2 linked regions of the Danio rerio genome follow. The protein of the gene in region 2 purifies or fractionates together with the protein of the main gene of each other region. This does not show direct contact. Links are inferred from orthologs where the notes say so. Each region holds a gene or a part of one and is shown on either strand. Other genes may lie near its edges.

What was found. Proteins that work in one complex are often made in the same cells at the same time.
Region 1: the proteins of cyld (region 2) and spata2 purify together in Homo sapiens (affinity purification with western blotting; 10 studies listed by BioGRID and IntAct, with this or other methods). This does not show direct contact. The link is inferred for Danio rerio from reciprocal best matches to the Homo sapiens genes CYLD and SPATA2.

What each region holds. Positions count from the first base shown.
Region 1 is NC_133198.1:3,531,896-3,538,032, reverse strand, and holds the end of spata2 (spermatogenesis-associated protein 2), read right to left. Parts: coding exon 6,040-6,137; exon of another isoform or gene 5,086-6,039; intron 4,905-5,085; exon of another isoform or gene 4,337-4,904; coding exon of another isoform or gene 4,313-4,336; coding exon 2,993-4,312; 3' UTR 1,979-2,992; downstream 1-1,978.
Region 2 is NC_133182.1:37,727,856-37,734,002, forward strand, and holds part of cyld (ubiquitin carboxyl-terminal hydrolase CYLD), read right to left. Parts: intron 2,690-6,147; coding exon 2,623-2,689; intron 2,536-2,622; coding exon 2,403-2,535; intron 2,108-2,402; coding exon of another isoform or gene 1,991-2,107; exon of another isoform or gene 1,572-1,990; intron 615-1,571; coding exon 506-614; intron 371-505; coding exon 252-370; coding exon of another isoform or gene 206-251; intron 49-205; coding exon of another isoform or gene 26-48; exon of another isoform or gene 1-25. UniProt on the Homo sapiens protein: Deubiquitinase that specifically cleaves 'Lys-63'- and linear 'Met-1'-linked polyubiquitin chains and is involved in NF-kappa-B activation and TNF-alpha-induced necroptosis.

The DNA of each region.
Region 1 (6,137 bases), on a different chromosome or scaffold from region 2:
AAAGTGTGACCAATTTTTTTTCTTCTTTTTAAAAATATTTTCCAAATGATGTTTAACAGAGCAAGAAAACTTTCACAGTATGACTGATAATATTTTTTCTTCAGAAGAAAGTTTTATTTCTTTTTTTTTTCGGCTAGAATAAAAGCAGTTAATAATTTTTTAAACACCATTTTAGGGACAAAATTATGAGCCCCTGTAAGCTATAATTTTTTCTCGATAATCTACAAAACATTGTTATACAATAACTTGCCTAATTACCCTAACCTGCCTAGTTAACCTAGTTAAACCTTTAAATGTCACTTTAAGCTGTATAGAAGGGTCTTTAAAAATGTCTAGTCAAATATTATTTACTGTCATCATGGCAAAGATAAAATAAATCAGTTATTAGAGATGAGTTATTAAAACTATTATGTTTAGAAATGTGTTGAAATTTTTTTTTTCTCTAACTGTTGCTAGTCTTTAAACATTAAATACATGCATAAATTATTTAATCCTTAGATAGAGCGACAGAGAATGACGAGTAGTTTTTGTTCAAGTCATATACATTAAATGTTTTAAATTCATTAAATTTAAATGTTTAAATTATTTCACCATCTGTACACCAATTTGAGTAGTGAATGTGCGTGTCTGTGTGGTAATCTGGGCTGGTGTGGCTACAGTGCCAGGGCTAAATTTTGTCCCAATCCGCCCCTGATATTAATAGTAAACAGGTAGTAAGAATTAGTACTTAAACTAAAGAGTACATCCAGCCGATTAACACTTACTTTTTCCTTTCACTTGATTACTGTTGAATGTGAAGTCATCTCTGACGATTTTTGACCCAAAAGTCAAACACCAAAGGCAGCGCATTTTTTGGTAGAATTTTATTTCTGAAATTATTTTATAAAATCATCGCTTTTCATTAATTTATAGAATTATAGGATTATACTTTTACTGACAAACATTTCGGCTAACTCCTTACCCCTGACCCACCCAGTCCCTTCGCCCCACCACACCTCCGTTGAGGATAGATCTGACCTCAGCTGATGTCTGAATGAATAAAGCAGTGTGTGTTGAGGAACTTCACCAGGAGGAATCACCACCAGTTCAGTGAAACCAACACACAAACAGATTAATACCAGAACTGGTTTGTTACCCAAGGTTGGTGGCTCAGTGAGCGTGCGGATATGCAGTTCGGTTCTTTCTTCACAGCCTGTGGGCGTTTGGCACATAGACGTTTTGATTGGTTTATCATGCTGTCACTCGCGAGTGAAATCCAATCACATTTTCCTGCAGTATTTTGTTCTGGAACCTGCAGAGTTTGAGAGAGACAAAGGCAAGGAGAGCTAGAGGACTGGCCAGATCCACTAACACTCGCTAAATTAAAAACACACACTGAAGTTACTGTGTCAGAACATGCAGTCATGTATTGTGCTAGTTTCTGTTTCCCTGACAAGGTTTTTTTTTTTTTTGGCCACCGCTTTATGCTGCGTACAGACATTAAGCATGGAGTCCTGCATTGAGCGCAGCCTTCAGGGGACTGGAAAAGCTTACCTAAGGCAGCAGGGAGAGCAGGTCGAAAGGTCTCTGAAATTAAAGATATGCAACCAGGATGACAGACTAGATGGAAAAAGAGGAAATTAAATATATGAAATGATGTATAAAATTAGTGTTAAATTAATAGAAACAAGCCAATTTTTATAAGATTATACAGTTCATTATTAGGGTGAATTTCTCTCTCTCTCTCTCTCTCTCAAAAAAAAAATAAAATAAATATGTCCAAGTCACATTTTACTTTAGAATATAAATAAATAATTCAATAAATAAGTGGTAATAACATTTGGTACTGTAAAACCTTTTTCTTAATGGGAGCATTATGAACGATTACGAATGGCGCTTAATACTGTATCGCTATTTTTGCATTGCAGCAACTAGAATCTGGATTCTAAAATAAAATATGACCCACACAATCCTCATAACATTCACCCTGTAGTAAAACTTTAGTTTGTCATGGTATGTGTACACACCATAAATTTATTGTACAATGAATTAACAAAAATAACTTTCTAATGACAGTACACAAAATATTAAATTATTCTCCAATTCAAATCATAACAGGTTACAAAGATGTAAAGGAAAACTGGACAGATTAAAAAAAAAACATACTGACATAATCAAACAGCAGAGGTGCCCAACCCTGTTCCTGGAGATCTGCCTTGCTGCAGAGTTCAGCTAGAAGCTTGATCAAAAGCACATGGCTTTAATTACCAAGTGCTCCTTCTAATACTTAGTTGGTTAAAGTTGTGTTTGATCAGTTGGAGCTAAACTCGGAGGTGGATTTTCAGGAACAAGGTTGCGCACCCCTGTCATACAGTGTGTGCATGAACCTTGCCAAGGGGAGTTTCATGAGTCAAGAGCGCCCCCTCCTGGTTTTACTTTCAACAGCAGCATTTTGAACAGCATAGACTGACTTCTTAGGGGTAAACCCACAAGGCATTTCTTGTCGGAGGACTCAATATAGTGACATGACAGCAACTAGAAGTTCTGATACAAATTCACTACTGAAACCCCATTTAACTGGGAAACCCCTCCCCCCACTATGAGACCAATAGTCTTATATAGAGCTATAGCTTCACAATTCAAAATATATACTATTTATGTCCAGTGTAAGGTTATTATTATCATAATTTTTTTCCTTTTGTTCAAGTTTGAGAAGTTCCAACTTTTTCGTTTCAATTCCAGGGTGAAGTCTCTGCTACGCGCTGCATGTTTTTTTTTTTTTTTTATCCGAGTTAACAAACACTGATACTGAGATGGATCTCTCCAGTCATACAGTTATAAACAGTCAACTGAGGGACAGGAAATGCACTGCAAGATCACATGACCAAAACCAAACAATAGCCAACGGAGAAAGGAAGCAGGACAACTTAAATAAAACAGAAATCAAGGGTGGGAAAAAAAAGCAGAGAAAAAAAAAAGCAATAGAGGTGTAGTGCACAACTGTGTTTCTGGTCTATCGATATACGAGGTGAGATATGGTGCTGGATTTGAAATTGAGTTGATGATTGGGCACAAAGTTATGATGGGGATTTTTGCGAGTGCACAAATCACTGGCGTAGAGGCTCATGCAGGTGTCACATGAAACCTTGGAGCAGTTCACACAGGTGTGAGAGGCACCTGGCTTGTTGCAGAAGCCACAGCGGGAGCCGCCCACACTCAGCCGCTCACCCCCACTGCTGCTGCTGCCACTGCTGACCAAGCTGCCCACCGGACTGGGGCCCGAACCCACAGGTTTACTGGGAAACAGCTTGGAGCTCATCACAGCTTTGTCCAGCAACAGCGAATGGGACTGAGCGTGGGGAAGTGGGTGAGGATGAGGGTGGGTGTGCGAGTGGGCACTGGAGTAGACAGACAATTTTTCCTTGATGGGCATGTAGCCATCCAGAGGGCGGGAGGTTTTAGTGTAATCCTGGAAGCCGCAACAAGGTGCTGGGTCCACCGCATGACAAGAGGAGCACAAGATCATGTCGCACCTTTGGCAAGAGGAAAGCGAAGGGCAGCCCATGCCACAGCCCTGGCACTTCATCATGTGTCCTTTCAAAACCCAACTGTCTCGAGGCTCCCGGCTCGGTGGCCTAGAGGGTGTCTGGTGGCCACCCAACCCCCGCTCGGTGTACAGGTCCACCTCGTCCAGGGAGGACAAGTGGTAAGAGTATGGCTCTGACGGGGGCGACTGAATTGGGAAGAAGTCAGCCACTGGACTGTAAGAAGGTGGCGCTGCCACTGGATAGAGCGAGGGGCTAGGTCGGATGATTTCGTCCTTCATGTCTTCATCTGTGTCAACAAACAACGGCTCCTTGCGCAGACTGAGTGAGGCCTTCAGCACTGGCTTGCTGGCCTGGTGCCAGTGTCCTGCGCTGTCCGTTACATCCACTGACTTGGATGGGCGACCGCTTCGCCTTAGGTGGGCACGATCAATATCTAGCGGTCGCACAGACAGGCGGGACAAATCTCCAGTGAGGCTGTCTCGTCTACGAAGGGCATCTGCACACCCCGCTGCATCTTCTCTGGTGTTTCTTCTCAACTCCACAGCCTCCAGCTCTGATGCAAAGCCACGAGACATGGAAACCACCTCGCCCAACAGACGGCACTCTGCCTGAGCCAGAAGCAGTTCAAAAGCAAGCTGCCGAAGGTGAGAAGCTCCACCTGGATGGTCCCTAACATTGTACTGCAATTCCTGTTCTCTTGAATAGCCCATGGAACGCAGTAGAGATCGCAGGTCGGAGTCGCATAACACAGACTGCAACTGGTACACGTATGGCCCTGTGAAGGTCTGCAAGTGTGAAAGACAAGTCATTAACAATGTAAATGATGTTAAAGAGATATAAAAATAAAACTTTACTATTTACTCTCACTCAAGTGATTCCCTTTCTACTGTTAAACACTAAAGATATTTTAAAGAAAGCTGAAAACCTATATTCATTTCCATAGTAGTTTTGCAGGCGTCTTCCAAATATATTCTTTAGTGTTTAACAGAAGAAAGAAACTCAAACAGTAAAGTAAGTAAATGATGACGAATGTTCTGTTTTGGACAAACTATCCTTAAGTATCCTTATAAGTAGATAAAAACATGACATTATGCTAACAAAATCCAAATAATTTTATACATATTTTGGACTATGGGGGCTGCCATTATTTTCAATGGTGTCAATCTGTTTCTATTGTCAATGCAGACATCCCAAGTCTCCCGGAAGTTGCGGGAGTATCCCTGAAATGCATAGACACTCCTGAATGCCCGCAAATGAATGATAATCTCCCGGAAATCGAGTGTCTCCTGCCCGGTCCTAAATACGTTACACACCCCTCTCTCCACCGCATCCCTAGTAGCTCTTCAGGTACGTCTCGCACAGCTCAACCTCACCGTTCTTAAGGTTATGTCTCGCGCAACTCACCCCCACCGTTCTTAAGGTTACGTCTCGCGCAACTCACCCCAACCGTTCTTAAGGTTACGTCTCGCGCAACTCACCCCCACCGTTCTTAAGGTTACGTTTCGCGCAACTCACCCCCACCGTTCTTAAGGTTACGTCTCGCGCAACTCACCCCCACCGTTCTTAAGGTTACGTCTCGCGCAACTCACCCCCACCGTTCTTAAGGTTACGTCTCGCGCAACTCACCCCCACCGTTCTTAAGGCACGTCTCGCGCTACTCACCCCCACCGTTCTTAAGGTACGTCTCGCGCAACTCACCTCCACCGTTCTTAAGATACGTCACGCGCAACTCACCCCCACCGTTCTTAAGGTACGTCACGCGCAACTCACCCCCACCATTCTTAAGGTACGTCTCGCGCAACTCACCCCCACCGTTCTTAAGATACGTCACGCGCAACTCACCCCCACCGTTCTTAAGGTACGTCACGCGCAACTCACCCCCACCATTCTTAAGGTACGTCGCACGCAACTCACCCCCACCGTTCTTAAGGTACGTCTCGCGCAACTCACCCCCACCATTCTTAAGGTACGTTGCACGCAGCTCACCCCCACCGCTCTTCAGGTATGTCGCGTCGCGCGTGCAACTCCCACCGCTTTTTGGGTACGCGCGCGCACACAAGTTTTACCAACTTAGGATGTTTGTCGATACAAAACAACTAAATAATAAAAAATAATGATTTGATGCTATATTGTGCAGCTTTTGCTTGTAATTTTGAGTTAAGCTCCAACTTGCCTCATCACACCTGCCTGGAATTGTGCCTATGAAGATCTTGATTAGCTTGTTTAGGTGTGTTTAATTAGGATTGGAGATACATATGCAAGACCCTGGCCCTCCAGGATGGAGTGTGGTGACCCCTGCTTTAAGCAATTATTTAACCCCAATAGAATGTGCTTAATAAATAACCACACAAAATGTTCATTCCCACTGCAACTATAACCTTAACTTCCCACACAGCTGTTTCTGTCCAATGATAGTTCACCCAAAAATAAACATCTTTCCTTGTGTGCTCAGTGGATATCAAGATGTTCATAATTAGAATTTTTAGACCTAATAATTAACGTGCTGACTCACCTTTATGCAACGGTACTCCTTCTTCCATGGAAAAAGCAGCAAATTGGTGCAGATGGTTTCCAGCGTTGCAAAGGCTGTTCCCACTGTCCGCAAGCTTG
Region 2 (6,147 bases):
AGCCAGTAAAGCAGGGATGTCAAACTCAATTCCTGGAGGGCCACAGCCCTGCACAGTTTAGTTCCAACCCTGCACCAACACACTTACCTGTATTTTTGAAACAAGCCTAAAGGACTCAATTAGTTTGATCAGGTGTGTTTAATTGGGGTTGGGACTAAACTGTGCAGGGCTGCGGCCCTCCAGGAATTGAGTTTGACATCGCTGCAGTAGAGCATGTTCATGAGACGATTATGTGTGTGTGTTTGTAATACCTGCGTATTGCACTTTTCACAGAACTGCTTGATCTTTCCTGGTGTGATGTCATAATCTTCATAGCACTCTCTGCACTCATATAGAGCTAAACCTCCACAGATTCGACATTCTCTAGGGGCTAAAACAAACCTTCGTCAATTCCTTTAAATATAATGCACTTTTTTCTTATATTCTTCATCCCAACACAGATAAAATACATTATGTGTGTTTTTTTTTTTTTTTCAAAGCCTATTTAGTTACTGAAGTGACTCACTGTCGTCTAATAGATCTGTGATGTCAAGCTCCAGAGATGGGAAGATCTTATTAAACATTTTGAAGTCCTTCCCAAACCGAGGCATCTGAATGATAAGGCAAGAAGGGGCCTGGAGAGAAATAAACAGACCAGAACATGACATTTCCCCTTATTCACTCATTTATCACAGTGAACAACAATATTTAGATGCATCAATTCTCATTTGAATACATCTGTCTCTTATAAATATTAAGTGTTTAATGGGACTCATTCGTGAAACAGTAGTAAATATAGGAGTAGTCTGAGTGGTTTCTAGACCTTTTTAAAAAGTCCCTCCAGAATCTTAAAATACTTTCCCAAAACTAGATTTGATTGTTCATGTTCATGGATTGTAATGAATTCCCAACATTTATCAACAGCGAGAGTGCACTCTCATTCATAATCTCCTTCTAATTTAGAAATATGTAAATGATATGTCCAGGAACGCAGTGGAGTGTTCTGGACTCCCTTCTACGGTTTGACTCCAGCATATTTCATTAGTATTAGAAAGACTAATATGCCATAGGCCTAAAAATACAATTTCAAAACACTAAAGCGTTTTAGACAGTTTCAAAATGCCTGCTGCATTTCTACATATGGCCAGATGGCGGCGCTTGAGATTGCTCTGGTGGCACAGTGTTTTTCAGCTGAGATGCTTGGGTTGCTATGATTTGGAATCCACAGCAGTAAACTTTACTAATGTTTACTTTACAAACCATTTTGAAAAAAATTACTGCACAGGTCAAAAGATCAAATGAAATATAATGGAGTTGGGAAAAATAATAATGATAAAAAAGCAGCATGGGAGGAAGCACATGCATATTTCATTTGTAACAACTAACATTTAAAAATATTAACTTTCATGGATTTACACAAAAATTATTATGTTTCATGAATGAGGCCCATTGTGTTTATTTGGAGGAAATTCAACATTTAGGCCTATACTCTGGATGCTAATTCTACTACTACTACCATTATTATTCATTCAGGAATTGTACCTTAAAACGATTCAACAAACACATGAAACCTGACAAAAAGTAATACACAGTACAGTTTAAAAGTTTATTTTAAATAAATCCATATGCATTTATTTGATCAAAAAATATTATTTCAAAACATTAGTTTTACCGTATTTTTATAAATACATGCAAGTTTGATGTATGCCAATTTGTATTTAAAAAAAATATATATTTCTCCAACCCCAAACTACCAGTCTATATATGATTTTTTTAAATCTAAATGTTTCTATGTAACAACAAACTTGTATGGTTTGTAGACATGGGCCGGAATAAGATTCTGACAGTGATAACCTTGGATGAAAATATCACAGTTTTATAGTATTGTGATTACTGCTCTTAAATATATTCTTTTTAAATGTCTGGGTAAAAAAGTGAAACCTTTTCCCCCTTTGAAAGCAATATATTTTGTTTTGAGAAACATTCGAAATATTTTGTAGCAGTAAACAGGTCAGGCTGAATAAATTAACCATTGACTTCTGTTATCGTCATTGGTTTCAAAAACACTGATTTCTTTACAATTTAAAATGGCATCTTGGATCTCTTTTCTGATGGAGATACAGTTGTCCTAAAAAACAAAAAAAAAAAGTTTCAATAAGAAATCTTACACATACCTTAGGAACGGTATAGCAGAAAATGAAAACCTTGACTTTTTCAAACTGAGGTATACCTTGAAAACGGTTATAATCCCATGCCTAATGGTTTGTTCATGTTATCTTTTGTTTGTAAGGTTTGTAATGTTTAGTTTCAACATAAAAACAATAAAGATGACATTATTAAACAATAAAGCATGTAAAATGAAACCGGCCTCTCTGCTAATTGTATGGTTCACAAGGCTCCAGATGCACATGTACATATCATACCTCTGCAAATTTGAGATCACTGTTGATAAAAGACCACTCCAGAAGCTGCTGGCTGGTCGGCACCATCACTTTATCTTTCTTATCCATAAAGATTTGATAGAAGTAACAGTCCTGAACCTTCTGCCCTGCAGACCTGCAAAAGACACACAGCACTTTTCAATACCAACTTCATCATATCAGAAAAGGCAGATTTTTGCATGGATTTGAAGGACATGCCCACCGAAGTCTGAGAAGAGGATCAACTCTCAGGATGTGATGAAACAGGATGTTGAGGAACTCCTCTGGATCTAAAAAGAGAGTAAATGCCTCAGGTCAAACACATCACTCCACACAAAATATTGGATATAAAACATTCAGATAAATATTTGAACTCTGTCAATAAACCAAATCAAATAATCAATGCAAATCATGTCATAATAGACCACATAAATGATCACATTTACAAACAAAATGTTTGTTTCTCATTTTAATTTATAAGGTTGCAGGGGATCCATTAGTTTTCTTTAACTAGTACTTAATTAGTACTTGCATTCAAAGAAAGTAATTGATAGGAACAATGTACATTTTGTGATGAGTTCAGTAGGAGTAGGAGTAGCGTTAACAACATACACATTTTTTTACAGAAATTAACTGTCTGTAATTACATAGAGTATTTATTTAATAAGCACAAGGTAAAAAGACATAAATAATAATAAAAATGTATAATTATCATTTTATGGTGTACATGGTACTATTGTAACAACAAAAACCCTGTCAAGTACACTGTCACGATCCCGCATCCAGAGATCGCTGGTAAAAATTCACATGAACTACACACACCACATGAACTACAACGACCAGAATGCATTGCACCAATCAACACCTGCTCCAGCTGACCGTCATCCAGACACTCTCTCTCACACACACACACACACACACACACACATTCACACCTGCGGCTCATTTCCACTGATGAGCAGGACTATATATTTCAGTTTGTGTGCCCCTCTCATTGTCTGTTGTTTGAGTTACTTCCATGAGGTCTGTGTGTTCCTGCTTTGTTTTGCTTTGTTTTAGTTTGTCTTGTTTTGTCATAGGTTTTTCATTAAATGTTTAAATGCTGCTTTTGGATCAGCTCTTTGTTTTTTCCTCTGAACATTACAACGGATGGTCACATACACAAACATAAATAATATCACTCATTACCTGAATGTATAATTACACTGTAACAATGACACTGCAAAATAAAGGGTAAGCATTAAATGTATCACTCATTTAATTACTCATTTAAAGTCCTCAAGAAATCAAAACAAACCAGATGATTATGTTAGCTCACATTGCTAGTTTTTTATTTTTTATTTTTTGTTGAACAATTCATTTATGCATGTCATTAAGAAAAAAAATTGCCCTTCTAATCTATAATTGAAATGTAAAAATGCACTTCCTGTTTGTATTGTTAAATTGTCTGATTATGTATATCTTAGCAAATGGGCGTGGCTTAAATATTTAACCATGCCACTCCAACTCAGTTTTGACACCAAACAGAAATGGTGAGGAGTGGGAATCTGTTAGGTTGTAATAACTCTCCACAAACCCTTTTCCCCATCTTTCTAAAGGAAATGCCTACTATACAACATCCATTCAGCTTGCAGTAGAAAAAACAGGCCACGGCCACTGCTTGCTAATTTACTATTTTATTTCTTCAAAAACTGTGTCACAATATAAAAAAAAATAACGGTCACAGCTTCCAGTTCAAGGGGACTTCAAATGTTATTATAAAGTGATTTAGGATACACATCTAATATAAACTAGGTCTAAACTGAGAAAACCTGACTACCATAATTTATACGTCGAATAAAGTAAATGTTTTTGATCAACTTTAGCCTCAGCATCCTCTATAAAGTCTTTCATTTATGGCTTTATCTCTGACTTTGTGCTTGTGTACAGAAGGGAATGTTCTATGTCATAACAGTTTTATAAAAGCCCAGTGGACATCAAAGATTCCACCCATGTTTCAGTATGGCTGCACAATGTTCTCTAAAACAGCAGGATGCACACAAGATAAAAGATCATTAAAAGCTTTTATCAAGTACACAGAAAACACTTCACTCCCCAAAACGATTTGGCATCATCGTAAGAGTTTCTGAAAGAATAGCATGTTCTACAACATCAGTACGTGTCACAAGTCATCACATAACAACATTATGATAGGTCCGCTATTATTATTATTATTTATTTATTATTATTATTATTTATTCATTTTCTTTTCGGCTTAGTCCCTTAATTAATCTGGGGTCGCTACAGCGGAATGAACCACTACATTGTTATGTAAATATGTTTTACATATTACAGTATATATATATATATATAATTCAAGTCAAAATTATTATCCCCCTTTTGATTTTTTTCTTTTTTTTTAAATATTTCCCAAATTATGTTTAACAGAGCAATGAAATTTTCACAGTATGTCTGATGATATTTTTTCTTTTAGAGAAAGTCTTAATTGTTTTATTTCGGCTAGAATTATTAATTAAAAAAAAAAACATTTTTGGGACAAAATTATTAGCCCCTTTAAGCTAATTTTTTTTCCGATAATCTACAGAACAAACCATCGTTATACAATAACTGGCCTAATTACCCTAACCTGCCTAGTTCACCTTATTAACCTAGTTAAGCCTTTTAATGTCACTTTAACCTGTATAGAAGTGTCTTGAAAAATATCTAGTAAAACATTATTTACTGTCACAATGGAAAAGATAAAATAAATCAGTTATTAGAAATAAGGTTTTAAAACTATTAAGCTTAGAAATGTGCTGAAACAATCTTCCAAGAACAGAACAGAAATTGGGGGAAAAAATAAACAGGGGCGCTAATAATTCAGGGGGGCTAATAATTATGACTTCAACTATAGTGATGTTTGTCCAATTTATAAATTGTAACATCAAGTATCATATAATGTCTTGCTGCACCTCTAATAATTAAAGAACTTTTACCCAATTGCGTTGATTCTCATTATTATGAAGACCAAAGAATAAATAAAATAAAATAAAATAAAATAAAATAAAATAAAATAAAATGTACTACGTGAATCTAAAAATTAGGTATCACTTTATTTTAAAGTGACAGAGTAACAGATTTCCCATGCACTTACTATAGTAATTACTAGGTTAGAATCGAGTCTTTACACTTTACATTGTGTAAATGACAGATGTTCCTCTTAAAAGCATAAAAACCCAAATATATTGAAATTGTAAAGCAGGTGGCACTCAAATTACAATGAAGAGAGTTGTCATGTCTTTTTTTTTTTTTTTTGATGATAAAGTTCACAGTATGAACTAAAAAATGTAGCAGACTAATTACTATTACTACTAGAAATAATAATGTTAACAACAACAACAGAAAGTTTTGTATTTCTCTGTTATTATTTTTCCTAAAGCGTTGTGGCTGTAACAAAATCTAATGTTTTTGATTAAACAGCCTACGTGCTTATTTATATATTTTTTTCTTATTAATAAAAAGTATGAAGACATTCTCTGATGCACCAAAGCCCCAGTTCTGCCTAAAGTTTTCTAGAGCTACATTTTCTATATCATTATATATATATTTTGATTAAACAGCCTACGTAAAAAGGTTTGGTCACCCAAGATTTAGAGTTTGACATTTACAGCTCTCCAGAAGAGAGAGAGAGAGAGAGAGAGAGAGAGAGAGAGAGAGAGAAAGAGAGAGAGAGAGAGAGAGAGAGAGAGAGAGAGAGAGAGAGAGAGAG